2 linked regions of the Callithrix jacchus genome follow. The protein of the gene in region 2 purifies or fractionates together with the protein of the main gene of each other region. This does not show direct contact. Links are inferred from orthologs where the notes say so. Each region holds a gene or a part of one and is shown on either strand. Other genes may lie near its edges.

The links.
Region 1: the proteins of PA2G4 (region 2) and NCL purify together in Homo sapiens (affinity purification with mass spectrometry; 3 studies listed by BioGRID and IntAct, with this or other methods). This does not show direct contact. The link is inferred for Callithrix jacchus from reciprocal best matches to the Homo sapiens genes PA2G4 and NCL.

The regions. Positions count from the first base shown.
Region 1 is NC_133507.1:152,896,059-152,912,090, reverse strand, and holds the start of NCL (nucleolin), read left to right. Parts: upstream 1-7,384; 5' UTR 7,385-7,524; coding exon 7,525-7,542; intron 7,543-7,954; exon of another isoform or gene 7,955-8,176; intron 8,177-8,613; coding exon 8,614-8,745; intron 8,746-9,868; coding exon 9,869-10,337; intron 10,338-11,029; coding exon 11,030-11,227; intron 11,228-11,332; coding exon 11,333-11,419; intron 11,420-11,456; exon of another isoform or gene 11,457-11,526; intron 11,527-11,601; coding exon 11,602-11,743; intron 11,744-12,765; coding exon 12,766-12,890; intron 12,891-13,821; coding exon 13,822-13,945; intron 13,946-14,442; coding exon 14,443-14,600; intron 14,601-15,114; coding exon 15,115-15,238; intron 15,239-15,468; coding exon 15,469-15,602; intron 15,603-15,712; exon of another isoform or gene 15,713-15,792; intron 15,793-16,032. UniProt on the Homo sapiens protein: Nucleolin is the major nucleolar protein of growing eukaryotic cells. It is found associated with intranucleolar chromatin and pre-ribosomal particles. It induces chromatin decondensation by binding to histone H1.
Region 2 is NC_133510.1:63,548,421-63,563,733, reverse strand, and holds the end of PA2G4 (proliferation-associated protein 2G4), read left to right. Parts: intron 1-96; coding exon 97-166; intron 167-433; coding exon 434-526; intron 527-2,060; coding exon 2,061-2,124; intron 2,125-2,364; coding exon 2,365-2,443; intron 2,444-3,266; coding exon 3,267-3,345; intron 3,346-3,426; coding exon 3,427-3,560; intron 3,561-3,837; coding exon 3,838-3,932; intron 3,933-4,058; coding exon 4,059-4,186; intron 4,187-4,352; coding exon 4,353-4,406; intron 4,407-6,226; coding exon 6,227-6,292; 3' UTR 6,293-7,309; downstream 7,310-15,313. UniProt on the Homo sapiens protein: May play a role in a ERBB3-regulated signal transduction pathway. Seems be involved in growth regulation. Acts a corepressor of the androgen receptor (AR) and is regulated by the ERBB3 ligand neuregulin-1/heregulin (HRG).

The sequences.
Region 1 (16,032 bases), on a different chromosome or scaffold from region 2:
GAACCAAGATCACGCCACTGCACTGCAGCCTGGGTTGATAGAGGGAGACTCTGTCTTGAAAAAAAAAAAAAAGTTAGCCAGGAATGGTGGTGGGCCCCTGTAGTCCCACGTACTTGGGAAACTGAGGCAGGGGAATCACTTGAACCCAGGAAGTGGAGGTTGCAGTGAGCTGAGATTGGGCCACTGCACTCCAGCCTGGATGACAGAGCAAGACACCATCTCAGGAAAAAAAATAATAATAAAATTAAAATAAAATTCTGATTTTGACGGGCGCAGTGGCCCACGCCTATAATCCCAGCACTTTGGGAGGCTGAGGAGGGAGGAATACTTGAACCCAGGGATTTGAAATCAGCCTGGGCAACATGGCAAGACCTCATCTCTACAAAAAATTAAAAGATAGCCTGGCATGGTGGAACATGCCTGTATTCCCAGCTACTTGGGGGCTGAGGTGGGAGGACCCCTTAAGTTCAGGAGATAGAGATTGCAGTGAGCCAAGGGACACCACTGTACTTCAGCCTGGGTCACAGAATGAGACTCTGCCTCAAAAATATAAGATAAATTTCTGACTTTTTTCATTATGAATTTTTCCTAGTAATTAAAAAATATTGCAGTTAAGGCCGGGCGCAGTGGCTCACGCCTGTAATCTCAGCACTTTGGGAGGCCGAGGCGGGTGGATCATGAGATCAAGAGATCGAGACCATCCTGGTCAACATGGTGAAAATTAGCTGGGCATGGTGGCGCGTGCCTGTAATCCCAGCTACTCAGGAGGCTGAGGCAGGAGAATTGCCTGAACCCAGGAGGCGGAGGTTGCGGTGAGCCGAGATTGCGCCATTGTACTCCAGCCTGGGTAACAAGAGTGAAACTCCGTCTCAAATTAAAAAAAAAAAAAATTGCAGTTAAATATTATTTATCTCAATGATTGAGTTTTTAAGTGTTGTGCCTGAGGCAAGTGCCTTACCTCACCTCAGACCCCCTCTCTGTAGCAGGAATGGGTTTTCTTTGAGATGGAGTCTTGCTCTGTCACCCAGGCTTGTGTGCATTGGTGCGATCTGGGCTCACTGCAACATCTGCCTCCAGGGTTCAAGCAGTTCTCCTGCCTCGACCTCCTGAGTAGCTGGGATTACAGGTGTCTGCCACCAGGCCTGGCTACTTTTTTGTATTTCTAGTAGAGACGGGGTTTCACTATGTTGCCCAGGCTGGCCTCAAACTCCTGACCTTGTGATCCACCTGCCTCGGCCTCCCAAAGGGATTATAGGAGCAAGCCACCATGCCCAGCCTCACGGACTTTTCAGTGGTGGATTGAGACACTTGGATTTTCTCTTGCTGGCTGTCAGAAGTCACTGAAATCCCTCAATTAGAAGAATGTGTTTGTATCTGCTGCTGAGGAAAACTGATGTGGCTGCCGTGTGGTGGGTTAAGATACAGGCAAGACAGGTCAGAATGGCTATGTTAATCCAGGCAGGAACTTGAGAAGGGGCAGTAAGAGAGGGGCAGTGGAAAGCAGAGTGGACCCATTCCAGAGACACTCGAAGTCCAGGCCAGGGGAAGCCCTGGGTCTGGGAGTTGAGGGAGAGGGCAGGGTCTAGACAATGCTACCATCTGAATGCTGGTGTCCCCCCAAATTCATATGTTGAAAGCTAATCCCTAAGGCAAGAGTATGAAGAGCTGGCGCCTTTAGGTGATCCGCTCCTGAGGGCTCCTCCCTCAAGAATGGGATTAGTATCTTATAAAAGGGGCTTACAGGGGCCTTTGGGTTCCTTCTGCCTGTGAAGAAGCAGCAAAAAGGGCACGGTCTAGGAGAGAAGCCCTCGCAGACCCTTTGATCTTGAACTTCCAGCCTCCAAAACTGTGAGCAACACATTTCTGTTGTTTAAAAGGGATCCCATCTAATGTGATAGCAGCTCCAGCCGACTAAGACAACATCCCAGCTCTTGGCTAGGCAAGCTGGGAGCTCTTTTTCCTTTACTGAGGTAGGAAAGACAGCAGTTCACGGGTGGAAGAGGCTGAAATCAGAGTGGAACACTTTACTTGAAGTCTGAAGTTTTTTTTTTTCCTGAGAGTAAGTTTTGTTCTTGTTGCCCAGGCTGGAGTGCAATGGCACAATCTCAGCTCACCACAACCTCTGCCTCCCAGGTTCAAGCAATTCTCCTGCCTCAGCCTCCTGAGTAGCTAGGATTATAGGCATGTGCTGCTACACCCGGCTAATTTTGTACTTTTAGTAGAGACAGGGTTTTTCCATGTTGGTCAGGCTGGTCTTGAACTCCTGACCTCAGGTGATCTGCCCTCTTCAGCCTCTCAAAGTGCTGGGATTACAGGTGTGAGCCACTGCGCCCGGAGAATCTGAAATTTTATAGGGCACCAAAGGGAGCTGTCTGCCAAGCCACTGGGTTACTGAGGAAGAAAGTTGCTCCTGAAGAGCCCCTGAGCTAGGCACCATCAGATGACACTGCCCACAGGAAGGAGGAGCTGCTTGGAGGAGTGGCTCCAAGTAGGTGGGGTACACACAGATGGTAGCTGAAGCCACTGGATAAGGGGGTTACCAGTGAGAGAATGTTGAGAAGAGAGAGGGTGGCAACACTCTTCTTTGAGGAGAAGCTCCAAGGAGGATGCACTCAAGAGACAGAAGCTGCAGAAGGGTCAAGAGAGATAAGAGATAAGGTCTGCAAGGTGTCCTTTGGCTAGAGGGTGTCTGCAGAAGGCAGGGGTGAAGGCCACTTGCAGGGGCTGGGAACCTGGGGGTCCTAGTGGAGCTGCGAGCAACTGTTGTCAACTCTTCCCAGGAGCTTGTTCCTGCAAAGGGCAATGGAATGGAGGGAGGTATTGGAATGGCAGGTGGCAGGCCAGGCACAGTGTTACGCCTGTAACCCCAACACTTTGGGAGGCCCAGGCAGGAGGATCACTTGAGCTTAGGAGTTTGAGACAAGCCTGAGCAACATGGCAAATCCCTGTCTCTATAAAAAATACAAAAAGTAGCTGGGTGTGGCAGGAAACGCCTGTAGTCTCAGCTGCTTGTAGAGCCTGAGGCAGGAGGATCACTTGAGCCTGGGAGGTCGAGGCTGCAGTGAGCTGTGTTCATACCACTGCATTCTGGCCTGGGCAACAGAGTGAGTCTCAAAACAACAACAACAAAAAATGGCGGGTGGTAGCTGAGGAGGTCACTGCTGTGGGACCCCCAGGAGGGGTGAGGAGGGGCTCGCTGGCACAGGAGAAGGGGTGCTTTAGAGAAAGACTGGTTTCCTTGGGGTGGCAGGGAGCGCTCAGGATGTCTGCGAATATATGTAAACCAGAGGGTGGGTCTGTCCTTCCCTTTGAAGGAGAAGATAGGGTAACTCTGTTGACAGAGAGGGCAGAGAAGGAGAGATGAGGGGTCTGAGGGAAGAGGCCTGGCATAGAAGGCCAAGGAGATGGAAATGAGAACGGTCAGGACCTCCTGGAAGATGATCTATCTGGGCTAGCAGCTGGGGCTGCTACCAGGGAGGCTGCTGGGAGGGCAGGGCATTTGGAGGCCCCAAATCTGCATCATCCAGATTCTCTCCAGCAGGGCCCCACCTCCTAGATGGAGAAGCCTGGGAGGTGCAGCAGGGAAGTTGGGGATAGCAACGATCTTGGGCCCTCAGTATCCTCCTCCAGCAGGCTCAAGGGCCTGAGGTTGGTGGCAGGGGGCTGACTCTACCTCTGGGTGAGCAGGTGAAGCTTCTCAGGCTGCCTCCGGAAGACAGAGGCTGGGTTCTCTAGCTCTGGCCCCTGAGACCTCAAGGCACAGGTGCTTCCTGAAGGGGAAGGCTTGCTAATACCCCAAGCAAGGCCTGGCAAGGGAGGAAGAGCTTGGGGTCCCCCTTTGGCATCTGGGGGAAAGTGCTGGGGAAGTTCTGGGTAGTATGCACAGGGCCTCAGTGAACTTGAAAGACAGAAGCAGGCTGGGCTGGTAAACGGACCTTCACAACAAACACCCCAGGCCTCAGGCAAACCTGGAGCTCTGGAAGCTGAGGCTGTGGTCCTCCCAGCCAGCTGGGGTGCCCAGCCCTGTCCTGCTCAGCCACCATGGTTGGGGCTCACCCTGCAGGCTTTGTGAGCTGGATGCTGGCTGAATCTGGCCAGCCCCACCTGCAACTCAAGGGGAGGAGCAGGGGAGACACAGGATATCCCCACCTTTGGACCCTCTGAAGCTTCCCTGGCAGCAGCCTGGCCCCTCATCATGGCCCTCAGTGGAAAAGCCTGGAGTAGGGGGTAGCTGCTTCCTGCTCAGTCCCCTTGGCTTCTCATCAGCAATTCTATCTCATGTCACCACGTCCCTGCACTAAACTCCCTTACTCCGTCTTTTTAAAATACTCAGTGTGGTTTTTCTTGGCTGGTTGGAGCCTAACCGAGATACTTAGTTCCTAGAGCCCCAGACCTGGGAAGTGGAGTTAATCCTTGGAAGCCTGCAGACCCCCTCCATTGGGCTGTGGGACCCTAGCATGAATGTGAGGCCCACTATGGCTCACTGAGTCTCAGGGACCAGAAGTGCCCACTGGGTGCCCCAAGTGGGTGCCTTGCTACACAGGTATAGGGAGGGGCAGCCAGGCCACAGCAGCAGGCAGAGTTGGGCCAGGTCAATGCAGGCCTGGAGAGGCAGCCAGTGACCACTCAAGGCAGTGGTACCCCTGGAGCTTCTGGGCTGGTGGCTGAGGCTGTCACATTCCCCACAAGAATTAGAACCATGGTCATACCCCTCCCCACCATCTAGTTCCTCCTCTGCTAAATGTGAAGCACTGTCTCCCAGCCTTGGAGCTCACGGGCAGCAGATAACCCAGTACTTGGGAGAACATCTATCAAATGTAAAAGGCCATACTCTTGACCCAGCTGTTCTACAGATGATTTGTGTAAAATAAAGCATGTGAAAAGGTTATTTGCTATAGCAGTTTGTAATGGCCAAACATAGCAAACAACCCTAAATGGACCAGCAAGGGTGACTAGATAAATTGTGATCCTTCCACACAAGGAACACCATGTAGCTATTTAAAAAGAGGCAGCTCCATGTGTGTTTATGTAGATGAGTTACAAGATACACATAGTTAAAAGGAGAGTTCAGAACAGTGTATATGATAGCGTTTGCATTAAATATAACAAATACACTTGTCTATTTGCAAGTATGACTGAATCTGGTAGGATATACAATAGACTGGCACTGCCTTGAGACTGGGAATCCTAGAGGACAGGGAGGGAAGGGAGACTTCATTTACTGTACATCTGTTTGAATCTTTTGAATTTGTACTATGTGTGTACTTTACAATTCAATAAATAACTCACATTTTCAAAACAAAAGAGCATTTAGAAACAAATAGGCCAGATGTGGTGGCTCTTATCTATAACCCCAGTGCTTTTGGAGGCTGAGGCAGGAGGACTGATTCAGCTGGGAGGACTGATTGAGCTGGGGAGGTCAAGGCTGCAGTGAGCCATGATCCTGCCACTGCCCTCCAGCCTGGGTGACAGTGAGATTCTGTCTCAAAAAAAAGAAAGAAAGAAAGTGGAATGTCGCAGCAGTGTCTTCACTTACATCCTACTCCACTGCTAGCTATGTGACCCTCGACAAGTTAATTTACCTCTATGCCCCAGTTTCTGTAAAACAGTGATACCTTTTTGGAAAGGTTATTTTGAAGAGCAAGTGAATGAATATGTGAAGAGATGGAAGAACGCCTGGCCTGAGTCAGCATTATGAAGTGTTAGATATTGCTATTTTGCTGCCCCAGACTAACTCCAAAGCAATGCCACTTATGCGGGCTCTCCCTGCTGCTGCTTCTACCTAAATACTTCACTCATTTAGCAAACAATTTTCTTTTTTTGAGACAGGGTCCTTTTTTTTTGAGACGGAGTTTTGCTCTTGTTGCCCAGGCTGGAGTGCAATGGTGCGATCTTGGCTCACTGCAACCTCACCTCCCGGGTTCAAGCGATCCTCCCACCTCAGCCTCCAGAGTAGCTGGGACTCCAGGTGAGCTCCACCCTGCCCCCCTAATTATTTTTTTTTGTAGAGAGGGCGTCGCACTGTACCCAGGCCAGTCTAAAGTTCCTGGACTTAAGCAATCCTCCTGCCTCAGCCTCCCAAAGTACTGGGATTACTGGCATGAGCCAGCGCGCCCGGCCTTAACAAGTAATTTTCTTTCTTTTTGAGACCGAGTGTCGGCTCTGTCGCCCTGGCTGGAGTGCAGTGGCACGATCTCGGCTCACTGCAGCCTTCGCTGTGCCAGTTCAAGGGCCTCGTTCTCTCAAAGTGGTGGGATTGAAGGCGTGGGTCACCGCGCCCAGACTCAGGTGATTTTTAAACAAGTCCGGCCGTAGCTGCAGGTATCCTGGTTCTGTAGGAACGACGAAGTATGGACGGATCCACACCTGGATCTATGGATGGGAAGGATCTCAGGGAGGCCCTGGACGGAGGGAAATGCTCTGGTTTGCTAAGCCTGGCACCGACTGAGACCCACCCACAAAGCGACCCATGGAAGTCCCTGGCGGCCTCCTCTGCTCTGCCGCGGGGGAGCCCTGCAGGTGGCTCCCGACCTGCTCCCGGGCCATCTGGTGACGCTGACTTCGCAGCCACCACCTTAACTGGCGCGTAATACCAACCAGGGAACCCGTGGGCGGCCAGAGGCCCGGCTCTACGGTCAGCCCGCCCAGGCACCTCTCCCTGCCATGTGAGGCCAGAAAGTTACTTCTCCGAGGCTGTTTCCCGTGACCAGAAATACCTCCCGCCTGAGGTTCTGTGGGGTAGGGGAGGTTCGTGCACTTCTCACAGAAAACGTCGCACAGACCCGCCACTGCCTTTATTAAGAGCTCTCAGGAGGCTGCCTGGAGCCGAGGGTGTCTCCGGCCCCATGCTCGCGGGCATCAGGGCGAAGCTGTGCCCCCGAAAGGGCCAACGGGAACTCCGCGGTCCCTGAACTTCCGGCGCTGGAGGGCTCCTCGCTCAGGGCTGCCGGGAGCCGCGGCGTGAGTGCGTGCCGGGGCCGCGCGCGGGATCTCTGAGGCCTCGAACCTCAGGGCTGTCGGAGTCTAGAGATGCAACCACGCTAGAGAAACGAAGGCCGCCCGATTTACACCACCCCCGCGCTCCCCTCACACCCGGCGCCAAAAACGCTAGTCCCACGGCGCAGGCTGGGACCCGCGCGCCCACGGCCCAATCAGCGCGGGCCTTCCACAAAGCGAGCCCCGCCCCCACGCCGCTGCTGCCAGCACCTCCCCCTCCCGTGGCCGTCTCGGCCCGCCCATTCCCAGCCCCGCGCCGTTCTTGGTTAGAAGCTCGCGATTGGCTCATAGGGACGGCCGCGAGCTCTGGTTGGCCGGCGCGGAGTCACGAGGGCGTCGTCGTCGTCTTTCCACAGGCGATTACTGGGCAGGCTCTGTCTTTCGCCTCAGTCTCGAGCTCTCGCTGTCCTTAGGGTGTACGTGCTCCGGGATCTTCAGTACCGCGGCCGCCATCGCCGTCGCTTGGCTCCCTCTGGGCTCATCTGCGTCACTTGCTCGCTCCACACTCCGCCGCCATAAGCTGTCGTCATGGTGAAGCTCGCGAAGGTAAGCGGCCTTGAGTGCGAGCACCGAGATCTAGGCCTGCTTTCCGAGGGGTGAGCGCGGCGCCGCGGGGAGGAGGGCCTGCGCGCAGTCCCGGCCGCGTTCGAGGGCGCCATGCTGCGGGAAGTCTCGCGCGATTAGTGGGGAGGTCTCGCGGTTTCTGGCTACTTGGTGGCGAGGTGAAGAGCTTCTGCAGGTGTTGGGGGCGGCGAACGCGGCGGGAAAGACAGAGTCACTGAGCGCGGGGAGGGGGCGCTAGGCCCCGGGGCAAGGAGATGAGACCAGACTCATCTCGCGTACGAGATGCGACGCGTACGAGCTAGAACCCGACTCCTGACGCACGTGCCCGGGAGCGCGGCCTGCCACGTGGGCCTCGCCGCGTGGGTCCGGGAATCTCCAGAGGGAGTGGTGCGTTAGGGTGGGAAATGGCGGTATCGGCCCGAGTCGGAGGACCGGCTGCGCTCGGGATGTCTGCCCCTGCCCGGCAAGCCGACACGTGGTGGGCCCCGGAAGGTGGCTCTGCCGCGGTGTTTCGGGCACGTGGTGGCCTACCAGGTACCCCCACGTGGCCGCGCCGCCTCTTTTAGGGGCGGGGTTGTCTCGCTGGGAAAGGAATAACGTTCATCAGAAAACCAAGGTATTTTTTTTAAGTGCCTTAATGATCTTCACTCATAATTTGGATTTGGATTTGGATAAGGGTTGTAGAATAAGGTTCCGGGATTTGAAGTACTAAAACACGGGTGTACTTAGAAAGCCTAAGGAAAAAAAAAAGTCAAACCTACGGTAAAAAGTCAACCTGAAGAAATGATTTCTTCACTTCTTCAGGTTGACTTTTTACCGTAGGTTTGATTTTCTGTTTGTAGAGCCTGACAGCAAACATGTGTGGGCGGTTGAGAGCAGGACCTCTTGCATTGCCATTAGGGCTAGTTTTTATGTTAGTTGTGCTGTTTGGCCCTATGAGAAATGGATCTGAGGAAGGAGATGATGGCGTTTTACACTGAACAGTAATGGCAAAACGTGAATGGCCTGAAATGTCGAAGTGAAGATGTGATGATGTACTTGTTACCATTTTAGGCAGGTAAAAATCAAGGTGACCCCAAGAAAATGGCTCCTCCTCCAAAGGAGGTAGAAGAAGATAGTGAAGATGAGGAAATGTCAGAAGAAGAAGAGGAAGAAGAAGAAGAAGATGATAGCAGCGGAGAAGAGGTAATTTCATCCAACTCAATGCGGAATTAAGTTAAAACTACAAAATGGGGAGTTAGGACATGAAATTGGATGTCTATGATAAAAATAAGATTTTATTCATCTGCGTATCTCCTGTTGTAGTGATCGAGTGTTTCACAAGCTCTTCGTTCATGTCAAGATGTCATTTGGCTAAATATTTGAATGTGAGTTTGAGACAGATCTGGGGATCTCCTTTCCATGTGCCTCTGCAGGGCTTGGAGTGTGATTTGTTGTGCTGAATCGTTACATTTGTCCAGTTTCAACATGTTATCCTCACCCCCACATTTTAGACACAAGGGAAAGATCTGTTCTCTCAATGGCAGAGCTGGGCGTTGTATTCAGATCTGAGGATAACCTTACCAGATTCCTTTCCTAGGCTCCATTTAAGATTAATTGGTCTCTATTCCATTACACTACTCACTGTGTTACTGTTGTCTCTGGTGTAGACTGAGGGCTGCCACCGCCCTTTGTGTTAACGTTTACCCTCTAGCACTCCTGGCTATTTATTTGTTCGCTATGAAGACAAGTGAGGACTGAATTGTGCTCAGACTTCTCTTTGAGAATTGAATAAAAGTTACTTTTCCATACATTGCCTGATAAAACTAGTAATCAAAAAGCAGATTTCAGTGGGACTTTATTAATGTAGCTAAATGGTGGATTCATCGTTTTGTAAGGGATATTCAGCCTATTTGATCTTCATTTCATCTCGTATCTTAAGAATTGAGCTTCACCAAGCTTGGTACCAGCACCTACTGTAGGAGCCTCAGATGATTTAATAACAGTTAATGCTTGGAGCCTCCTATGTGTACGGTTGTGAATAATTTACACATAGCAATTCCTGTTCCTTAGACATGTAAGGATGATACTATTACCATTTTCAGGTGAGAAAGTTGGGATTTGGGAAAGTATGAGGTATGAGAATTCAGAGGTATTTTAAGTGTTCAGAAGGGTTCCTTATTCCTAGATATTCACCTGATAATATGGAGTTTAACATGGTAACGTGTGTCTAGGGCTTGTGGTCTTGAACCATAGGCATTGACAGAATCTAACACTAGTTGGGACCATGGTTGTCTTCTTACTGGTTTGGTTTTCATTTATTCTCAAGGTTGTCATACCTCAAAAGAAAGGCAAGAAGGCTGCTGCAACCCCAGCAAAGAAAGTGGTAGTTTCCCCAACAAAAAAGGTTGCAGTTGCCCCACCGGCCAAGAAAGCAGCTGTCACTCCAGGCAAAAAGGCAGCAGCAACACCTGCCAAGAAGACAGTTACACTGGCCAAAGCAGTCGCCACACCTGGCAAGAAGGGAGCCACACCAGGCAAAGCATTGGTAGCAACTCCTGGTAAGAAGGGTGCTGCCATCCCAGCCAAGGGGGCAAAGAATGGCAAGAATGCCAAGAAGGAAGACAGTGATGAAGAGGAGGATGACAGTGAGGAAGATGAGGATGATGACGATGATGAGGATGATGATGAATTTGAACCAGCAGTGGTGAAAGCAGCAGCTGCTGCCCCTGCCTCAGAGGATGAGGACGATGAGGATGATGAAGATGATGATGAGGAGGATGAGGATGATGAAGATGGTAAGGCGTTCTCTTGGTAGTTACTAGGCTTCTGTTTGCAAGTTATCTTGATTCTGGGAGCAATACTATGTATTCCTTCCACAACAACCTGGAGATCCTGGAGGTGAGATTGGAATCCTTGTGGGAATTCTCTGGGCTGTTGTGTGCCAGACTTAATTACCCATTAATGATTTTGTGCCTTGAGAAAATTTCAACAGCATAGTCTGATTGTTTTTCATAATACAGGATTTTGGTTCAAAGTGATTTTTTTTTTTTTTTTTTTTTTAAATTTTTTTGAGACTGAGTTTTTGCTCTGTTGCCATGGCTGGAGTGCAATGGCATGATCTTGGTTAACTGCAACCTCTGTCTCCTGGGTTCAAGCGATTCTCCTGCTTCAGTCTCCCAAGTAGCTGGGATTACAGGTGCCTGCCACCACACCTGACTAATTTTTGTATATTTAGTAGAGGTGGGGTTTGACCATATTGGCCAGGCTGGTCTCGAACCTTGACCTCAGGTGATGCACCCACTTTGGCCTCCCAAAGTGCTGGGATTACAGGTGTGAGCCACTGTGCCTGACCCTAAGTGGTCTACTCTTGCCATGACTATTAACTAACCATGGTGACAGGACTACACTTTATGTCCATTAGATTTTAAAACCGCTATTTATTTCTGGTGATTGCTGGAATTTTTTGACTAGGTGGCTTTTCTTTCAGACTCTGAAGAAGAAGCTATGGAGACTACGCCAGCCAAAGGAAAGAAAGCTGCAAAAGCTGTTCCTGTTTCTGTGAAAGCCAAGAACGTAGCTGAAGATGAAGATGAAGAGGATGATGAGGACGAGGATGATGATGAAGATGATGATGAGGATGAGGAGGAAGATGATGAGGACGAGGAGGAAGAAGAGGAAGAAGAAGGTAATTAAATTAGATTCTGACATACATTGACATGAGATGTTTAAAGGAGACACTTAAGTGTTTGTGGTTATTGATGGGTGATACATTGTTTGACATCTTGTCCAGAGCCTGTCAAAGAAGCATCTGGAAAACGAAAGAAGGAAATGACCAAACAGAAAGCAGCTCCTGAAGCCAAGAAACAGAAGGTGGAAGGTAACTTGCAGAATTGGGGGATGTGGGGGAGATAAACAGCACAAATGATGAATGACAAAGGGACTTAATACTGAAACTTGATGTTACCTTGCAGTGTGCTGATGTGCTGTGTATAGAAATTTTGCATTGGAAACTTTTTACCACACTTTACAAATAGACTGAGTTCAGCTTTTTTTGAATAGGCACAGAACCGACCACGGCTTTCAATCTCTTTGTTGGAAACCTAAACTTTAACAAATCTGCTCCTGAATTAAAAACTGGTATCAGTGATGTTTTTGCTAAAAATGATCTTGCTGTTGTGGATGTCAGAATTGGTATGACTAGGTAAGTGCTTCCCTGCATCTTACACATGGGTCTGTTAACGCCTTTCCCTCCCCTATTAGCACTTTAGCCTGGTGCTTTTAAACATGAATAATGTAAACATCTTCAAGGATTAGCATTAGTGAACTAAGTTAAAATCAAATTATAGAGCCCCTAAAGCGCAATTTTTTAATATAGGATAACTCTTAGTATAGGATGGAATAATCTTTAGTTTGTTTTTTTTTTTTTTTTTTTTTTTTTTTTGTGACAGAGTCTCATTCTCACCCAGGCTGGAGTGCAGTGGTGCAGTCTTGGCTCACTGCAACCTCCGCCTCCTGGGTTCAAGTGAGATTCTCCTGTCTCAGCCTCCCGAGTAGCTGGGACTTACAGGCATGTGCTACCATGCCCAGCTAATTTTTTGTATTTTTAGTAGAGACGAGGTTTCACCGTGTTAGCCAGGATGGTCTCGATCTCCTGACCTTGTGATCTGCCCACCTCAGCCTCCCAAACTGCTGGGATTACAAGCCTGAGCCACAGCACCCGGCCAGTAAGTTTTAATAATTTGGTGTTAGGAGCATTGCTTGAACCTGGGAGATGGAGGTTGCAGTGAGCCAGGATCATGCCACTGCACTCCAGCCTGGACAACAGAGCAAAACTCTGTCTCAATTTAAAATAATAATTTGATGTTTATTTTTTTGGAAGTACCTAAAACTGTTAGACTTGACTAGTCACAGTGAATGCTTTTATCCAGACAGGATTCTCCTGTATTAGTGCTTATAGGTGTTCTTTTCAGCTGCTGTGGTCAGTTGTTAGAAGCAATTTAGCTAGTAATGAGGACCTCAGAGGTGAATGTGCATGTCATATCTTCACACTAAGACCTTGTTCTGTAGCTACAATTTGCAGAGCCTTGACTTTATTTTGCTAATACCAGTGGTGCTTTTTAATGTGATCTTTGTTTGTACCATCACATTTGTCTGGAATACATATTGTGGATTTCGATTTGTGTTTTCACCTGTTGGAATTTTGCCCTCTTCTTCACCTCAAAGGAAATTTGGTTATGTGGATTTTGAATCTGCTGAAGACCTGGAAAAAGCCTTGGAACTTACTGGTTTGAAAGTCTTTGGCAATGAAATTAAACTAGAGAAACCAAAAGGAAAAGACAGTAAGAAAGGTATGTAGTGATTTAGGAGATGATGCAGCAAACCCAGGCGCTAGACTGCTAGGGAGAATGCTTTGGAACCCGTTTATTTATTTTTTTAAATTTTATTTTATTTATTTATTTTTGAGACGGAATTTTGCTCCCGTTACCCAGGCTGGAGTGCAGTGGCGCGATCTCTGCTCACTGCAACCTCTGCCTCCTGGGTTCAGGGAATTCTCCTGCCTCAGCCTCCTGAGTAGCTGGGATTACAGGCACGCGCCACCATGCCCAGCTAATTTTTTGTATTTTTAGTAGAGATGGGGTTTCACCATGTTGACCAGGATGGTCTCGATCTATTGACCTCGTGATCCACCCGCCTCGGCCTCCCAAAGTGCTGGGATTACAGGCGTGAGCCACCGCGCCCGGCTCCTTTTATTTTTAAAAAAATGTTTACCCTGCTTTCTTAATGCGGGATTTAATGAGTTAGTGTTTACAAGAGTACTCGGTGCTGCTTGCTAGTGTTACGGTGTAAATTCCTGAGTTAGGCAAATGAGCACTTTCATTGAGAATAAGATTAGATGCACCTAAATTAAAGGGTTCTGTCTTCACTGAAACTAGAGTAGGTCCCTAATTACGGTTTGAATCCTTTGCTTTTTTTCTCGATACAGTTGTAGTGTTTTAAATTGGTATATTCATTTTTTTGTTTGTTTCTAAAAATCATGCACATCTACTCTAGGTTGAACTCTAGTTTGAACAGATAGTTTGACATCAGCTGTGACAACATGGAGGGACCACTTGTGTGTTGCCACCGCGGTATCTCCATATTGAGCACAGAGCCTTGTATATCATGGGATCTCAAATTATTTGTTGAATAGAGCTATGTCTGTTTTTGCCCCACTTTTATTGTCGCTAAATGTTCAGGGTTTTTTTAGGCCATACAGCTAATTTTTATTTTTTAATCTAGAACGAGATGCGAGAACACTTTTGGCTAAAAATCTCCCTTACAAAGTCACTCAGGATGAATTAAAAGAAGTGTTTGAAGATGCTGCGGAGATCAGATTAGTCAGCAAGGATGGGAAAAGTAAAGGGTATGTTCTGTCTATTGAAATGTTGGGGTTTTTAAGGTTTTTACAACATTAACGCACTTTCCTGCATTAACAAAAGAAATGTTGGTTTGATTTTCTTAGGTGTAATCGTGGGCCATTTAATCTGTAAACCTGTGCCTCAATTACCCATCTGTACTGTGGGGATAACGTACTCATAGGGTGATTTTAAAAGACAAGCTAATACATATAAAGGAGCAAGAAATGTGCCTAGCTTATAATAAATAAGTTTTGTAAGTAGTAGCAGTGCTTTCAGTGAGGTGAAGTGACTGAAGAAAATTGAGTTTTTGTAAAACTTTTTAGTGGGAAAGCGGAAGCTCAAGTTTTGATTGAAAATTAGAAGGGAAGTTTGGCATTTTGATTGGCATAAAACTAAGGGCATTTATTGTACTCAGATCTGAAGCAAGTTCTGTGTTGCTGAGGTAAAAGCATTTGTGTTAATATGGTTTTTAAAATCACTAGTTCTTCTCCCTCCATTGCAGGATTGCTTATATTGAATTTAAGACAGAAGCTGATGCAGAGAAAACCTTTGAAGAAAAGCAGGGAACAGAGATTGATGGGCGATCTATTTCCCTGTATTATACTGGAGAGAAAGGTCAAAATCAAGACTATAGAGGTGGAAAGAATAGCACTTGGAGTGGTAAGAAATTAGGCTTGTTACAGGGTTGCAGAATTGGAGAGAAATCCTTTGTCTTTGTACTTCCTAAGTACTTTTTAATCAAAGTTACTTAAACGTAAGTGAAGATCAGGACATTATACTTCTAGTCATACTCTTAATTGGAGTAGTAATTTCTAGTCCTGAATGAGAGCTCTGAAATCATTTTGCATTGGAACACAGTAGGCAAATCAAGCTTCCTTTGTAGGTATGTTTTGTACTTTAAATGACTTCAACCATGTGTGTTTTGAACTTAGATTATTGTTCTAGGAAAACAGACCAGTAGTCAGCCTATACATAAAGAACAACCTGCAGGACATTGCAGCATATATACTAGGTACTCAGTATGTTGAGTAACAGAAGTGGATTTTACTTACATCAGTATTTGTGTAATAACTCTTTCAAGCACTGAAATTCTTAGGAATAAGATAGTACTGCTGTGAGCAAAGTTGGGAACCTGTGTGTCAAAGTTTTAAGATTGTGGCATCTCTGTCTGCAGGTGAATCAAAAACACTGGTTTTAAGCAACCTCTCCTACAGTGCAACAGAAGAAACTCTTCAGGAAGTATTTGAAAAAGCAACTTTTATCAAAGTACCCCAGAACCAAAATGGCAAATCTAAAGGGTAAGATAATACCTTTATGTCATCAGTTATGGTCTGTGTGTGTCTTATAGGTCTAAAGGAAGGTAAGGTCATGTGTGATCCTGTCAGAAAAGCCAAATCATTTTAGTTATGTAAATGAGTGTAAATAGCATCATTTAGGTATGGACTTGAGGGAAGGGGCTTGGCAGCATCATGTGACAGAGGACCATGTGCCTGGCAGCTTAGTCTAAGCATTAACTGTTCATCCTCAGGTATGCATTTATAGAGTTTGCTTCATTTGAAGATGCTAAAGAAGCTTTAAATTCCTGTAATAAAAGGGAAATTGAGGGCAGAGCCATCAGGCTGGAGTTGCAAGGACCCAGGGGATCGCCTAATGCCAGAAGCCGTAAGTTAACCTGGATAGGATGCTGTGGTTGGGGGTGGCACTCCAGTGCTTTCAGTGCTTATTTTTTGCACAACTTCTGTGTTTTCTGTTGCTGCTGAGTGAAGAATAACTGGATATGATGACTGATTACCTGAGAAATAATTGATGAAATCTCAAGAAAATTCCTCTAGATAGTCAAGTTCTGATCCAGCTGTCAACTCAGAGCAGCAAGCTTGCCTGTGATTTCCTGCCCCTCCAGTGGGCAGCACTTGCTTGGGTTGCTTCTCACACTTTCCATATTAGTTCTGGGGCAGGAGATCAACTATGCAGGGGCAATTTAGAAATGGAAACTCACAACAGCCTTATTTGAATTAAAACTAGTTGGCTTAGTTGCTTTTAACTGCTTTTCCACTAAGACAAGCATTCTTGGCCAATAGTCATACTAGGCATC
Region 2 (15,313 bases):
GGGGCAGGTCGGTCAAACTGTTTTGAAGCATTTTTCTTTTTTAAAGTATTTACAAAGTGCTAGTTCCTAATGCAGTACTCTGATCTTGCTTTTCAGTGACCTTGGGGTCCATGTGGATGGCTTCATCGCTAATGTAGCTCATACTTTTGTGGTTGATGTAGCTCAGGTAGGTGGCCTGCTTTTGAGCTCTGTTTAGCTTTGGGGATGGGGGGAACGAACTGCCATTTGCTTCTTATCCCCACCCCCAATCACCACATAAGTTGAGAGAGTCTCTAGAGAAGCAAAAGGAGAAGGATAAAGGTGTTTTTTTTTTTTTTTTTATTCTCCTGTTCATTAGCTGGCCTTCACATATGGGCTCACAGATATTAACCAGATAGCCAGCTGAGTTAACAAGCTTTCCAGGAAGACACTGATTGCATGTCCTTATCTACAGGGGACCCAAGTAACCGGGAGGAAAGCAGATGTTATTAAGGCAGCTCACCTTTGTGCTGAAGCTGCCCTACGGTTGGTCAAACCTGGAAACCAGGTAAGCTATTTTATCCAGTTCCAAATTATAAAACAGCTTTTAAAATTAGCTATATTTGGCTGGGCACAGTGGCTTATGTCTGTAGTCCCAACACTTTGGTGGGGCCGAGGTAGGAGGATAGCCTGAGGCCAGGAGTTCAAGACCAGCCTGGGAAACATGGTGCAACCCCGTCTCTACAAAAAATGCAAAAATTACTTGGGCGTGGTAACGTGCACCTGTATTCCCAGCTGCCAGGGAGGCTGAGGTGGGAGAATCAGCTGAGCCTGGAAGATTGAGGCTGTGGTGAGCTATGATCACACCACTGCACTCCAGCCTGGGTGACAATGAAACTATGTCTTAAAAAAGAAAAAGGAAAAATAAGCATTTGCTGTCTCCACAAAACTGATAACAATGCCAGGTATAAAAGGATTAACACTGGACTTAACATCAGAAAACCCAGGTGTAGTGGCATATACCTGTAAATCCAGCACTTTGGAAGGTAAAAGTGAAAGGATTGCTTGAGCCCAGGAATTTGAGACCAGCTTGGGAAACACAGCAAGACCCGTCTCTACAAAAAGAAAAAAGAAAACCCAGGTTTATGACCAAGTTCTTTCACTTAACAGTCATTTAACCTGGGGCAAATAATTTAACCTGAGACTCAGTTTCCTTGTCTTCTAGATTGGGATATACATCTGCCCTGTTCACTTGCCAAATTTATCAAATTAGACCATCTTTGTGAAAGCACTGGGTAAAATGATATGCAAATACAGCTGTTCCTCGGCTTGATGGCGCTTTCAGTAGAAGTTATGCTTTGAGTACCCATACAACCATTCCATTTTTCATTTTCCACATATTTTGTAAATTACATGAGATAGTCAACACTATTATAAAATAGGCATGTTTTAGATTCTGCCCAACTGTAGGATAATGTTTTCTAAGTGTTCTGAGCACACTTAATGTAGGCAGGCTATGATGTTAGGTAGGTTAGGTGTATTAAATGCTTTTTGGGTTTTTTTTGAGATGGAGTCTCACTTTGTCGCCCGGGCTAGAGTGCAGTGGCGCAATCTTGGCTCACTGCAACCTCCGCCTCCCAGGTTCAAACGATTCTTTTGCCTCAGCCTCCTGAGTAGCTGGGATTAGAGGGGTGTGCCACCACACTAATTTTAGTATTTTTAGTAGAGATAGGGTTTCACCATGTTGGTCAGGCTGGTCTCAAACTCCTGACCTCGTGATCTGTCCGCCTCAGCCTCTCAGAGTGCTGGAATTACAGGCATGAGCCACTGTGCCCAGTTAAATGCATTTTTGATTTAGTGATATTTTCAACTTACGATGAGTTCTTTTGAGATGTAACCCCATTATAAGTTGGGAGCATCTATATAAAGTATTTTTAGATTGTAAGGATAATCGAACTATGAAATGAAAATCCAGTGAATGAGAATCATTAGTACTGGATGGAGGATATTAGAAAGCTCAGTTCTTTTATGCTTCTTATTCGCATTGTAGAGAACTTATTAGCTCCTGATATCTCACCTTTTGTTTGATGTTGTACTTCTAGAATACACAAGTGACAGAAGCCTGGAACAAAGTTGCCCACTCATTTAACTGCACGCCAATAGAAGGTGAGAACAGTTAACAGGGTTGAGGGTCTAAGAATGAGTGGCTTTGCAGAATTCAGACTTTTGCTCCCTTGAAGATTTATCCTGGCTATAGCCCAGTCAAAGCCAGAAATCTCAGAGCCCTGTGTTTCCATAGCCAGGTACTTTCTCACTGCCTGCCCCTTCAAACTACTGAAGTGGGTGGATTTGGAAACCTTTTGGGGTTCTGGATAGCTTGTTCCATAGGCTATGTCCTGTCTACAGGTATGCTGTCACACCAGTTGAAGCAGCATGTCATCGATGGAGAAAAAACCATTATCCAGAATCCCACAGACCAGCAGAAGTAGGTGCCAACCCCACTCATCACCTTCTACCAAACTAGTCATCAGACTTTTTTCTATACTCCCAGCTGAATCTTGTCTACCTTCTACTCCTTGCTTTCAGGAGTGACCTATTGCTCTTAATATTCCCGTTCTCTAGGCCAGGCGTGGTGGCTCATGCCTGTAATCCCAGCACTTTGGGAGGCCCAAGCCAGTGGATCACCTGAGGTGACCAGTTTGAGACCAGTCTGGTCAACATAGTGAAACCCTGTCTCTACTAAAAATACAAAAATTAGCTGGGCATGGTGGTGTGTGCCTGTAATCCCAGCTACTTGGGAGGCTGAGGCAGGAGAATTGCTTGAACCTGGGAGGCGGAGGTTGCAATAAGCTGAGATAACGCCACTGCACTCCAGCCTGACGACAGAGTGAGATTCCATCTCAAAAAAAAAAAATATCCAGGTGTGGTGGTATGCACCTGTAACCCCAGCTACTCGGGAGGCTGAGGCAGGAGAATCACGTGAACCCGGGAGGCGGAGGTTGCAGTGAGCCAAGATAACGCCATTGCACTGTAGTCTGGGCAACAGTGTGAGACTCCGTCTCAAAAAAAGAAAATTCTTGTCTGTGAAGAACATGAAAATATAAAAAAGAAAAAAAATACAAAAATTAGCTAGGCGTGGTGGCATGCAGCTATACTCCCAGCTACCCAGGAGGCTGAGGCAGGAGAATTGCTTGAACCCAGGAGGCGGAGGTTGCGGTGAGCTGAGATTGCGCCATTGCACTCCAGCCTGGGCGACAGAGTGATACTCTGTCTGAAGAAAAAAAAAACCTTCTCTGTATTCCTTTTAGGAAGGACCATGAAAAAGCTGAATTTGAGGTACATGAAGTATATGCTGTGGATGTTCTCGTCAGCTCAGGAGAGGGCAAGGTGAGGAGAGTACCACAGTTGGCAAAGAGGGGTGACTGAAAGTGTTTGCCAGACCAAATATTTCTTAAATTACTCTTGCAGGCCAAGGATGCAGGACAGAGAACCACTATTTATAAACGAGACCCCTCTAAACAGTATGGACTGAAAATGAAAACTTCACGTGCCTTCTTCAGTGAGGTGGAAAGGCGTTTTGATGCCATGCCATTTACTTTAAGGTACTACACATAGCAATGATAGTACTTGGAACCAGTCTGACTCACAGACCATACACCCAGGAACACTTTTTCCTCTCCCTTCCTGCCTAGACTTGTAGCGTGCACGTGCTCACTCCCTCCCTCTCTCTCCCCATCTCCTTCTCACTGAAGGTAATGTAAAAGAGCAATCCTAAGCATGATTTCTGCCTGAGGGTAGGAGCTATTTTAAAATATGAGCAAAATGGTAAGACTTGATGGGGAGTTAAGAATACTTCTGAATATCATCTTCCCCTGCCAGAGCATTTGAAGATGAGAAGAAGGCTCGGATGGGTGTGGTAGAGTGCGCCAAACATGAACTGCTGCAACCATTTAATGTTCTCTATGAGAAGGAGGGTAAGTTCTAAAAAGAGCTTCACTTTGGATTCCCTGATTATATGATATCCTTCATATAAGTTCAGAAGACCTAAGTATGACAACAAAGGAGTGTTTTATCAAAATACATCTTCATTTTTGCCATAGGTGAATTTGTTGCCCAGTTTAAATTTACAGTTCTGCTCATGCCCAATGGCCCCATGCGGATAACCAGCGGTCCCTTTGAGCCTGACCTCTATAAGTCTGAGATGGAGGTCCAGGATGCAGAGCTAAAGGTTAGTATGGAATAGAAGGTGGTGAGGATGTATATGGTACCTGTCCTGGGAGTGAGGGCTAAATGCCAGCAAAGTCCTAAAAAGAGCTACAGTACTGAAAGTAACCCTTTTTTAAAAAATTTCCTCCACATTTCTCAAAATTTGTTTCCTTCTTCCTGTTTTCCAGGCCCTCCTCCAGAGTTCTGCAAGTCGAAAAACCCAGAAAAAGAAAAAAAAGAAGGTGTGTTGTGATCATCCCTCTCTGGCAGGGTGAACCTGATCCCTCTTTCTCCCATTGTATTAGGTCATGGTGGGATACGGATTTTTGTACAGATATTCCTCAGCTTAAATGATAGGGCTTTGTCCCAGTAAACCCATCATAAATTGAAAGTAAGTCAAAATGGATTAAAAAAATTTTTTTGGCCTGCTGCAATGGCTCACACCTGTAATCCCAACACTTTGGGAGGCCGAGGTGGGTGAATCACCTGAGGTCTGGTGAGACCAGTCTAACCAACATGGTGAAACCCCATCTCTACTAAAAATATAAAAATTTAGGGGCCAGGCGCGGTGGCTCACGCCTATAATTCCAGCACTTTGGGAGGCCGAGGTTGGGTGGATCACGAGGTCAAGAGATCAAGACCATCCTGGTCAACAAGGTGAAACCCCGTCTCTACTAAAAATACAAAAATTAGCTGGGCATGGTGGCGTGCGCCTATAGTCCCAGCTACTCGGGAGGCTGAGGCAGGAGAATTGCCTGAACCCAGGAGGCAGAGGTTGCGATGAGCCGAGATCATGCCATTGCACTCCAGTCTAGGTAATCATTCCATTTTTTTGGAACTCCGTCTCAAAAAAAAAAAAAAAAATTAGCCGGTTGTGGTGGTGGGCACCTGTAATCCCACGAGAACCCAGGGAGGCCGAGGCGGGTGGATCACGAGGTCAAGAGTCGAGACCATCCTGGTCAACATGGTGAAACCCCGTCTCTACTAAAAATACAAAAAATTAGCTGGGCATGGTGGCGCGTGACTGTAATCCCAGCTACTCAGGAGGCTGAGGCGGGAGAATTGCCTGAACCCAGGAGGCGGAGGTTGCAGTGAGCCGAGATCGCGCCATTGCACTCCAGCCTGGGCAACAAGAGCGAAATTCCATCTCAAAAAAAAAAAAAAAAAAAAAAAAAAAAAAAAAGAGAGAGAGATGATCTTACTGTGTCACCCAGGCTGACGTGTAGTGGCATGACCATAGCTCACTGTAGTCTCAAACTCCTCCTGTGCTCAAGTGATTGTCCCACCTTAACCTGCTGCGTAGCTGCCACCATGCCTGGCTCCAAATGGATTTGATATACCTTAACCTACCAGGAACCTCAAAGCTTAGCCTGGCCTACCTTCAGTGTGCTCAAAACACTTATTCAACAAATTATCATGTATCGAAATATCCATATTTTCACACTGTTGTGAAGTTGAAAAATCACAAGTTGACCATTGTAAGTCAGAGACTTATATATCTTTATTTCAACTGTGACCCAGAGGATTGAGATACTTTTTTAGCTGAGGGTGCGGTGGTTCACAACTATTATCCCAATGTTTTGGGAGGCCTAGGCAGGAGTATCACTTGAGCCCAGGAGATCAAGATGAGCCTGGGCAAGATAGTGCAACCTCATCTCTACAAAAAATACCAAAAAAAAACCTATACATGGTGGCATGTGCCTATAGTCCCAGCTACCTGGGAGGTTGAGGTGGGAGGATTACCTGAGCCCAGGGAAATTGAGGCTACAGTGAGCCATGATGTACCTCTGCATTCCAGCCTAGGCGACAGAGTGAGTCTTTCTCAAAAAAAAAGTCCAGGCACAGTGGCTCACGCCGCCTGTAATCCCAGCACTTTGGGAGGCTGAGGTGGGCAGATCACCTGAGGTCAGGAGTTCAAGACCAGCTTGACCAACATGGAGAAACCTCATCTCTTAAAAGAAAAAAAATTAAAAATAAAAAACTTGTATCTCTAGTCCCAGACACTACCCCCCAAATAGTTAGAAACTGCCACATCTTCTCCCTCTCCTTTTCTTGCATATAGGCCTCCAAGACTGCAGAGAATGCCACCAGTGGGGAAACATTAGAAGAAAATGAAGCTGGGGACTGAGGTGGGTCCCATCTCCCCAGCTTGCTGCTCCTGCCTCATCCCCTTCCCACTACACCCCAGACTCTGTGAAGTGCAGTTCTTCTCAACCTAGGACCGCCAGCAGAGCAGGGGGTCTCCCTGCCCCGACCCCAGTTCCCCAGCCCACTCCCTTCCAACAACAACCAGCTCCAACTGACTCTGGTCTTGGGAGGCAAGGCTTCCCAACCACGGAAGACTACTTTAAGTGAAAAAAAGAAATTGAATAATAAAATCAGGAGTCAAAATTCATCGTCTTCAAGCCCCTCTTTCTAGCCTTTTCTACTACTGTCTGCTTGGTCAAGGTTTGTAGCCCTACCACAGAACAGGGCTAAATTAGCCACCGCCACTGAAAACTCAGCTGAATTTTTTTATACCACTCTGACATCAGCGTTTTTCCATCTGTTTGGGGCTTTTTCCTCTCTTTTTCCCATTTTCCCCAAGTATTTTATCTGGCTTCAAAATTAGGAGGATTATTTTTTCAGATTGTTTTTATTCAGTGTGGCCAACTCCTCATCTTGATTCAGGCCGTCCAGTCAGGCCCCTCCCATTTTAGGAGTTGGAACCTTGATTTATGAAGAGATTCTCATCTATGAAATGGATCCTCATTTGTAAATCTTTGTTCTTCCATTTTCACAAAGCTGTAAAGAAATAATTCATCTCAACCTTACCCTTTTCTCTGGAGTCAGTGGGGTCTTCCCTCACTCCATCTTACACAAACCTGAGCTGGAAGCTCAACTGGTTTTGTTCCCTGTTTGAAATATTGTGATCTCCCTCCCTTGAAAGAAAAAGGAAGAACCAGAGGAGTAGACTGAAGATACAACTCCTGGCTTTCTGAAGCTATGGACTTGGATTGGATTGCTGGGGGTTTGTAGCGAAAGGTGACATATTTCAGTACCTCTGGCATGCTGTCCCAGGAAACTAGGGCTCCCACTAACTTATGAGGTTTTTAAACACATTGAAAATGACATGACATTAAAATAAATTTGGATTTGCTCATAATGTTGTGCTTTGTATGCTGCTTTGATAGAGGTGGGGAGCATGTCAGTTGAAGTAGTACTGGAACTTTCTCCAGTGCCATGATCTACCTTCCTAAAATGAGGAATGTCTTGACTTGCAGAAGACACAAATCCTAGAATCTTTGATGATATAGTAAATTATCTGCTGGAGTTGGGTGATGTAATTTTCTAAGTAGAAACGGTCCTCTGCTAAGATTTGTTTGGGGTTAGGACACTTAATATGTATTGCAAGAACAGCACTACAAATGTTTATCTTGATTCAGGAAGCCAGGAAGAATGTCTGGTACGCTAGTTTTCAGGGCCAGACTTGAGGTCAGATGGGTAATTAGTTTATCTTGTTACATGTCAGGCATTGTGAACAGAACTGAACATAGGACAAATGTGAACATAGGACATATCCACCATTAAAATACACAGAGCAGTTTCAGAGCCCTAAAAATCCTCTGTGTTTTCCCTGTTCATCCCTCTCTGCTTGATTACACATTTATCTGAAGGCAAACAATGTACAACACCAAGAGTGGACCCTAGTGTAAACTAAAATATGGATCTGGAGTGATAATGGTATGTCAATATAGGTTCAGTTGTTAAATGTACCACTCTGGCAAGGTGGAGGGATGTTTATAAAGAGGGAGGCTAGGCCGGGCACAGTGGCTCAAGCCCGTAATCCCAGTACTTGGGGAGGCTGAGAGGGCAGATCACAAGGTCAAGAGTTCCAGGCGAGCCTGGCCAATGTGGTGAAACCCCGTCTCTACTAAAAATACAAAAAAAAATCAGCCAGGTGTGGTAGCATATGCCTGTAATCCCAGCTCGTCAAGAGGCTGAGAGGCAGGAGAATTGCTTGAACCCAGGAGGCAGAAGTTAAAGTTAGCCGAAATCGTACCACTGCGCTCCAGCCTGGGTAACAGAGCAAGACTCTGTCTATAAATAAATAAATAAAGGGGAGGCTATATGTGTGGGAAATATCTATACCTTCCTCACTTTTGCTGTGAATCTAAAACTGTTCTAAAAATTTAAGTCTATTAAAAAGAAAGGGTGGGGGGGTGGCCGGGCGCGGTGGCTCATGCCTGTAATCCCAGCACTTTGGGAGGCCGAGGCGGGTGGATCACGAGGTCAAGAGATCGAGACCATCCTGGTCGACATGGTGAAACCCCGTCTCTACTAAAAAAATTTAAAAAATTAGCTGGGCATGGTGGTGCATGCCTGTAATCCCAGCTACTCAGGAGGCTGAGGCAGGAGAATTGTCTGAACCCAGGAGGCAGAGGTTGTGGTGAGCCAAGATCGCGCCATTGCACTCCAGTCTGGGTAATAAGAGCAAAACTCCATCTCAAAAAAAAGAAAAAAAAGGCTGGGCACGGTGGCTCACACCTGTAATCCCAGCACTTTGAGAGGCTGAAGAGAGCAGATCACCTGCGGTCAGAAGTTCAAGACCAGACTGGCCAACATGGTGAAACCTGTCCTAAAAATACAAAAAATTAGCTGGGTGTTGGTGGCACACACCTGTAGTCCCAACAACTCGGGAGGTTGAGACAGGAGAATCACTTGATTTGCTTGATAGAGGTGGGGAGGTGAAGGTTGCAGTAAGCTGAAGTCACACCACTGCACTCCAGCCTGGGTGACAAGAGCGAGATTCTGTCTCAAAAAAAATTTCCCTCAAAGAGCTTATAGACTAGTTGGCAATCATCAATTGGAATCCTGGTGGAATTGATACAAAATAATTCTGCTAGGATTTTTTTTGTTTCAAAAAATTTGTCATATATAAGGCAGGGTACAGTGGCTCATGCCTGTAATCCCAGGACTTGAGGAGGCCAAGGGGGGCAGATCACAAGGTCAGGAGTTTGAGACCAGTCTCACCAACATAGCAAAGCCGCGTCTCTACTCTCTACCAAAATACAAAAATGAGCCGGGTGTGAGGCAGCAGAATGGTTTGAACCTGGGAGACTGAGGTTGCAGTGAGCCCAGATCCTGCCATTGTAATACAGCCTGGACGACAGAGTGAGGCTCCATCTCAAAAAAAAAAAAAAGTGTCTCGGCCGGGCGCGGTGGCTCACGCCTGTAATCCCAGCACTTTGGGAGGCCGAGGTGGGTGGATCACGAGGTCAAGAGATCGAGACCATCCTGGTCAACATAGTGAAACCCCATCTCTACTAAAAATACAAAAAATTAGCTGGGCATGGTGGTGCGTGCCTGTAATCCCAGCTACTCAGGAGGCTGAGGCAGAAGAATTGCCTGAACCCAGGAGGCGGAGGTTGCGGTGAGCCGAGATCGCACCATTGCACTCCAGTCTGGGTAAACAATAGTGAAACTCCGTCTCAAAAAAAAAAAAAAGTTTTTCAGAAATTGAAAATGAAATGCTAGAAATATAATAAAGGAAAACCGCAAAAAAGGAGGGATTGTAACAATCACATACAAAATGTTACAGTATGTTAAACTATAAAATGTTGTATGTATAGGGAAAGCGTTCTTTTTGTTTTTCTTTTTTTTTTTTTTTTCCGAGACGGAGTTTCACTCTTATTACCCAGGCTGGAGTGCAATGGCGCGATCTCGGCTCACCGCAACCTCTGCCTCCTGGGTTCAGGCGGTTCTCCTGCCTCAGCCTGCTGAGTAGCTGGGATTACAGGCATGCGCCACCATGCCCAGCTAATTTTTTGTATTTTTAGTAGAGACGGGGTTTCACCTTGTTGACCAGGATGGTCTCGATCTCTTGACCTCGTAATCCACCCGCCTCGGCCTCCCAAAGTGCTGGAATTACAGGGGTGAACCACCGCGCCCGGCCCGAAAGCGTTGTTTTTCTTTGCTTTTCTTTTTTTCTTTTACTTTTTTTTCTGAGATAGAGTCTCGCTCTTGTCCAGGCTGGAAGTGCAATAGCATGATCTGGGTTCACCACAACCTCCACATCCCAGATTCAAGCGATTCTTCTGCCTCAGTCTCCCAAGTAGCTGGGATCACAGCCATGTGGCATCACGCCCAGCTAATTTTGTATTTTTAGTAGAGATAGGGTTTCACCATGTTGCCCGGGCTGGTCTCGAAGTCCTGACCTCAGATGATTTGCCCGCCTCAGCCTCCCAAAGTGCTGGGACAACAGGCGTGAGCCACCGCGCCAGGTCAGGAAAGGGTTCATTAACTGAAAAGTTTCCTGTAGCCAAATCTTATGGGATCTGGTTGTTTTCCAGTGCTGCTCACCCGAGTATACAATAAGACTGGGAAGTTCTTTATCTTAACACCAAATGTCATACTTCTAGATTTAGCTAATTTTCTCCCTATGTCCGTTGGTTCACTCTTCACCCCTAGAGAACCACTGCATAGGTCACTGCAGCCGCGACTTGCTGGGCTCGAGATTCCCCCACCTCAGCCTCCCAAAGTGCTGGGATTACAGGTATGAGCCACCGTGCCCCGCCGCTTATGTGTTTTCTTAACATAGCCATGCATTGTAGCCAGGATTCCCTAGTGATATTTTGCTTCAGGCATCGTAGGGAAAGACCATAGTCAGCTATTTTATTCCTGAAGTTTAGGGAAAAAAATTGCTCTATCTTAAACAGTGAGAATATTTTTTGCAGTACGGCAGCTTTCCCGACTCCCCACTTTATATCTTCCTACGTTCTGAACTCTTGGTACCATCGATAGTTCCGGAATCGAATCACCCTGCAGCAATTTATTTTAGAAAATAACGTAAACCGGCTGGGCGCGGTGGCTCATCCCTGTAATCCCAGCACTTTGGGAAGCCGAGGCGGGAGGATGGCTTAAGTTCAGGAGTTCGAGACCAGCCTGGGCAACAGGCGAAACCTCGTCTCTACTAAAAACACAAAAATTATCCAAGTGGCGTTCGCCTGTAGTCCCAGCTGCTCGGGAGGCTGAGGCTGGAGAATCGATTGAACCTGGGAGGCGGAAGTAGCAGTAAGCCGATATCGCGCCACTGCACTCCAGCTTAGGTGACAGTGAGATCCTGTCTCAAATAAATAAATAATAAAGAAAAGAAGACAAACCAGTAAAACAATAATTTCTGTACAGTCCGCGCCTTTCCACAGCAAAATGGAGGACTTCTCCAAGGAACTGCAATTCCCAAGAAACAATGCGAGGGAAAGTGGCGGTCACTATTATATTGGAAATAGGTGCTGACGTTTAAATAACACAGTGTCCTCGTACTAAATCTGGTGGGGTGGGGAACTGGTAACTCCAAAACCAAATTCTCTGTCTTCCGGAGAACACCTAACCCAACAGTCCTTCGCTAAGAGGGGCCGAAAACCTTTGTTACGCCCATTGGGTAGCCCCGCCCGGTGGGGGGGAAAAAGGGCGGGAAAACGGAAGTGACGACACCCGGCGCTCTATTAAATAGCTGTAGACGGAACTTCGGCTTTCTCTCGGCCTTAGCGCCATTTTTTTTTGGGTGAGTGTTGTTGGTTTCTGTGTTCGGATTCCATGTACAATCCTTTGACATCTGATCTCTGCACTTACCATCATCACAGCAAACTAACTGTAGCTTTTCTCTTTTTCTCCGTAGAAACCCCTGCGCCATGAGAGCCAAGGTGAGCGGTTCCTGGTATTAGGCTTGGGAAGTAGGAGTTGGCGAGTAGTAATGGGAGACTAAGGCAAGGCAAGTCCGCCATAGTTCCTGAACTACAGGTTTTCAGGGGTGCCCAAGAGTTGATGGGAGAGGAAAATTAGTGAGAGAAGCTGAGAGGCTAGTGGCTAAGTGCTATGGGGAAAGAGAGTGGGAGTTGAAAAAGGTATAATTCGGATTTTATGTTGGGAGGGTGTCCAAGTTACTGATGTAGTTGCTACGACCAGTGCTGCATACTTGGTTAAGAATCTGTCGGGTTCTAAAGAGTGCATTTCATATCCCTCCTAAACCCACTAATAAGATTCTTTTTTTTTTTTTTTTTTTTAATTCTCTGCTGTTTGTGATCGGTTGCTAGTGGAGGAAGAAACGAATGCGCAGGTATGTTGAGACTGCCAGTCCAGGAGAAGGGAAGGGGGAGTGTTCCTTGGACGAGAAATATTTGATTTGGAAATCTTAAAACAGCTTTAGGAGAAAGACGTTTGAGTATTTTCTTCTTAGAGCAAAGGATTGAACAGAACAGAGGACGATAGAATCGTAATGCTTGTTCATTTTACCACCTCGTGCATTCTAAGCACGTTTGATTTAATGTGGGAGGGGAAGACAACTCTGGTTTAAGAATAGAAAGTGTATTCCATTCCTGTGTCTGCTTTTCAGGCTGAAGCGCAAAAGAAGAAAGATGAGGCAGAGGTCCAAGTAAACCGCTACTTGTTGCACCGTGGAGGCCACAGGAGCAGAAACATGGAATGCCGGGCGCTGCTGATGCTGGTACAAGTTGTGGGACTGCATGCTACTGTCTAGAGCTTGTCTCAATGGATCTAGAACTTCATCGCCATCTGATCGCCGATCACCTCTGAGACCCACCTTGCTCATAACCAAAACTGCCCATGTTGGTCCTTTGCCCTGGACCTGTGACATTCTGGACTATTTCTGTGTTTACTTGTGGCCGAGTGTAACAACCATAAAATAAATCACCTCTTCCGCTGTCTTAGCTGAAGGATTAAATCGTCTCGTCTATTACGTGTTTTTTATGGTTCCATCGGGTCGGGGTTTTCTATCAGTACAGTTTGCCCTGTCCCTACCTGTGCTATGGAGGATAGAAAGGCAAAAGCCAGGGTTAAGTGGTGTGGTTTGCACCTGGCTGGAGTTGGGTAGGGTATGGTACGCCCCTGGAGGCACGTTTTAGGTTGCGTGCGTTATTAGGCGCTGTTGGTGGTACCGCCCTTGCTTTCCAGTAGGTCTGCCATTCAGAATACCGCTTTCTGGACTTGATGTCGTGCTTTTGGGTTGGGTTGCTATGGTGACACGCAAAGCGTGCTGGGAACTTCCTGCGATATGTCGCACGCCTACTTCGTACACCATAGAGTATGGTTCCGGGTCTGGTGGCTAGAGCGTCACTTCTTCCGCAGGAAGCGGAAGAGCGTTCGGGTGGGCGGCTCTTTGTCGAAGCTAGAGGACCGGCAGGCGGCAGCAGCAACTACGGCGGCGGCGGCAGGTGAGGGAGGCGGGAGACTTAGGTGGAGGCCGCGCCCGGAGGGGAGGAGTCGGGCCAGCCCCGCTGCTGGGCTCGGCCGGGCCGCACAAGTCCCCCCAGAATCGAGCTGGCTCTTCCTCACACCCCAGGGCAGTGCCCCTTTTCTGACTGACCCCGCATCGCGAGCAAACGCCAGCTTCGTGACGTCACAGCTCTGCCCATCCCCTCAGCTTGATGACACCTGGAGCCCCATCTCTCCGCTTCACTTCGCGCGCCCTTAGTGTCCCATTCACGTAGTCCATGGCTGAGCGCCGGCGGCACTGCACGGAAACTGCCAAGCTAGAAGACTTGCTGCGGGAAAACTCCTAGGACTTTTTTCGCAAACTCTAGGGTGTTGGGAAGCGTCACAATCACTGCCCCCAAGTCTAATCGGCCATTCCACTGCACTGTCAGACGCTGCCCTTTTAAGGTTCCTCACTTGGCATTACTAACTCCAACCTTTGGCCGCCCTCTGACCCTCACATCCTCTTTCATCTTGAGGCAGGGCGCCCCACACCCTTTGTTCACTCAGGGCTGGTTTTCCAACCCATCCTCCCAGCCCTTCCGAATTAGTTTTATCTTTTACTCTGCTTACTGGCCACTTCTCCCTTGGACAAGTGGAGAAGCTCAGTTTGAACACTAAGGAAATCCTAACGTTTCCAAAGCTTTGCCGTTTTGTTAGATTTCTTTCTTGTGACAACCACTCCATCGAGTGGAGGACAGCCACCTCCACTCTTACTCCTTCTCCCACCCAAGTCTCTGTTTTTTTCCTGCCCAGAACCCAGCAGTGATGTGGAGGTGGAGACCCACAGGAGCCCCGGACTTCACCTGAGCTACCTCAGGTATCAATTCTGGGACAGTTGGGTGGGGTGGAGCTTCATATCTAATTATCTGCTGCTGGTGCGACTTGCAAGGTGAGCCACGCTTGGGTAGATGCCATTTGTACTTCACCTGGTCATTCCCCTTTACTAAAAGTTTGTATCTTCTTTTATCACTTCTTTCCTTGATTGCTTCTGTTATTCTGGGACTACCTCCCTTTAGAGGAAGAGGGCCCTTTTATAGATTCACATGTAACTCTGGCCTCTGGTTTGGTTAGTTCATTTTAGGGAGAGCTGAAGGCAAAGTCACAGCAGTGGGGTGGGGGTAGGTCAAGACCAAAGTAATCAGGAAAGATTCTCTTATGATCAAAGGGAACAATATGAAGTTTTCCTATTTCAGCAGCAGGGGGAGCCTGAATACCATATAGGAAAGGCTTGGGAGGTCAGACACGTGGTAGCAGGGACTCCAGGTCTTACTAGGGGTGGAGAGCGGGGAGGGCTAGAATCAGGGCAGTGGACTGACATTCCAAAGCTCTCTTGGGAAATAGGAGACTTAAAAAGCTTTTATAGAGTCTATAAATAAAGAGGATCTTTATGGGGTGAGGAATGGTGTGGTTGGATGTCAGTGGGATCTCCACATAGGGGTGAGGAAGGGGGTGGGGCGTGGGGAAAGGTCACTTGTTCCTTTGAAATTAACTCCTTCCCACCTTGACCTTATCACAAATGGTTTGTCCTGGGAAGTCTAGAAGTGGAGATTCTAACTTAGAACTCCTGCCCTGCAATGGAGGGAGCTGACCTCTCTGGGGTAGATAGTGATGATGGCTGGGAGGGAATATTAAAATATGACAGGTTTCGAGACTGCCCTCAAGCTGGTGACACCAGTCTCTTCACTCAGGATTTTGTGGCTTCTAGAGATGTGATATGTACAGAGCCCTTACCTGAAGAAAAGGAAAAGGGGATAAGGAAGTTTTGTTACCAGTGTCCCATCTTCTACAACCCTAGTAGCTCAGCAGCCCATCCTGGGCACTATTCCTAGTTCCCAGACTATTCAGATACCAACCACAGTTTTAATTTCACTTCTACAACTTTAATAAGGTCAGCTCA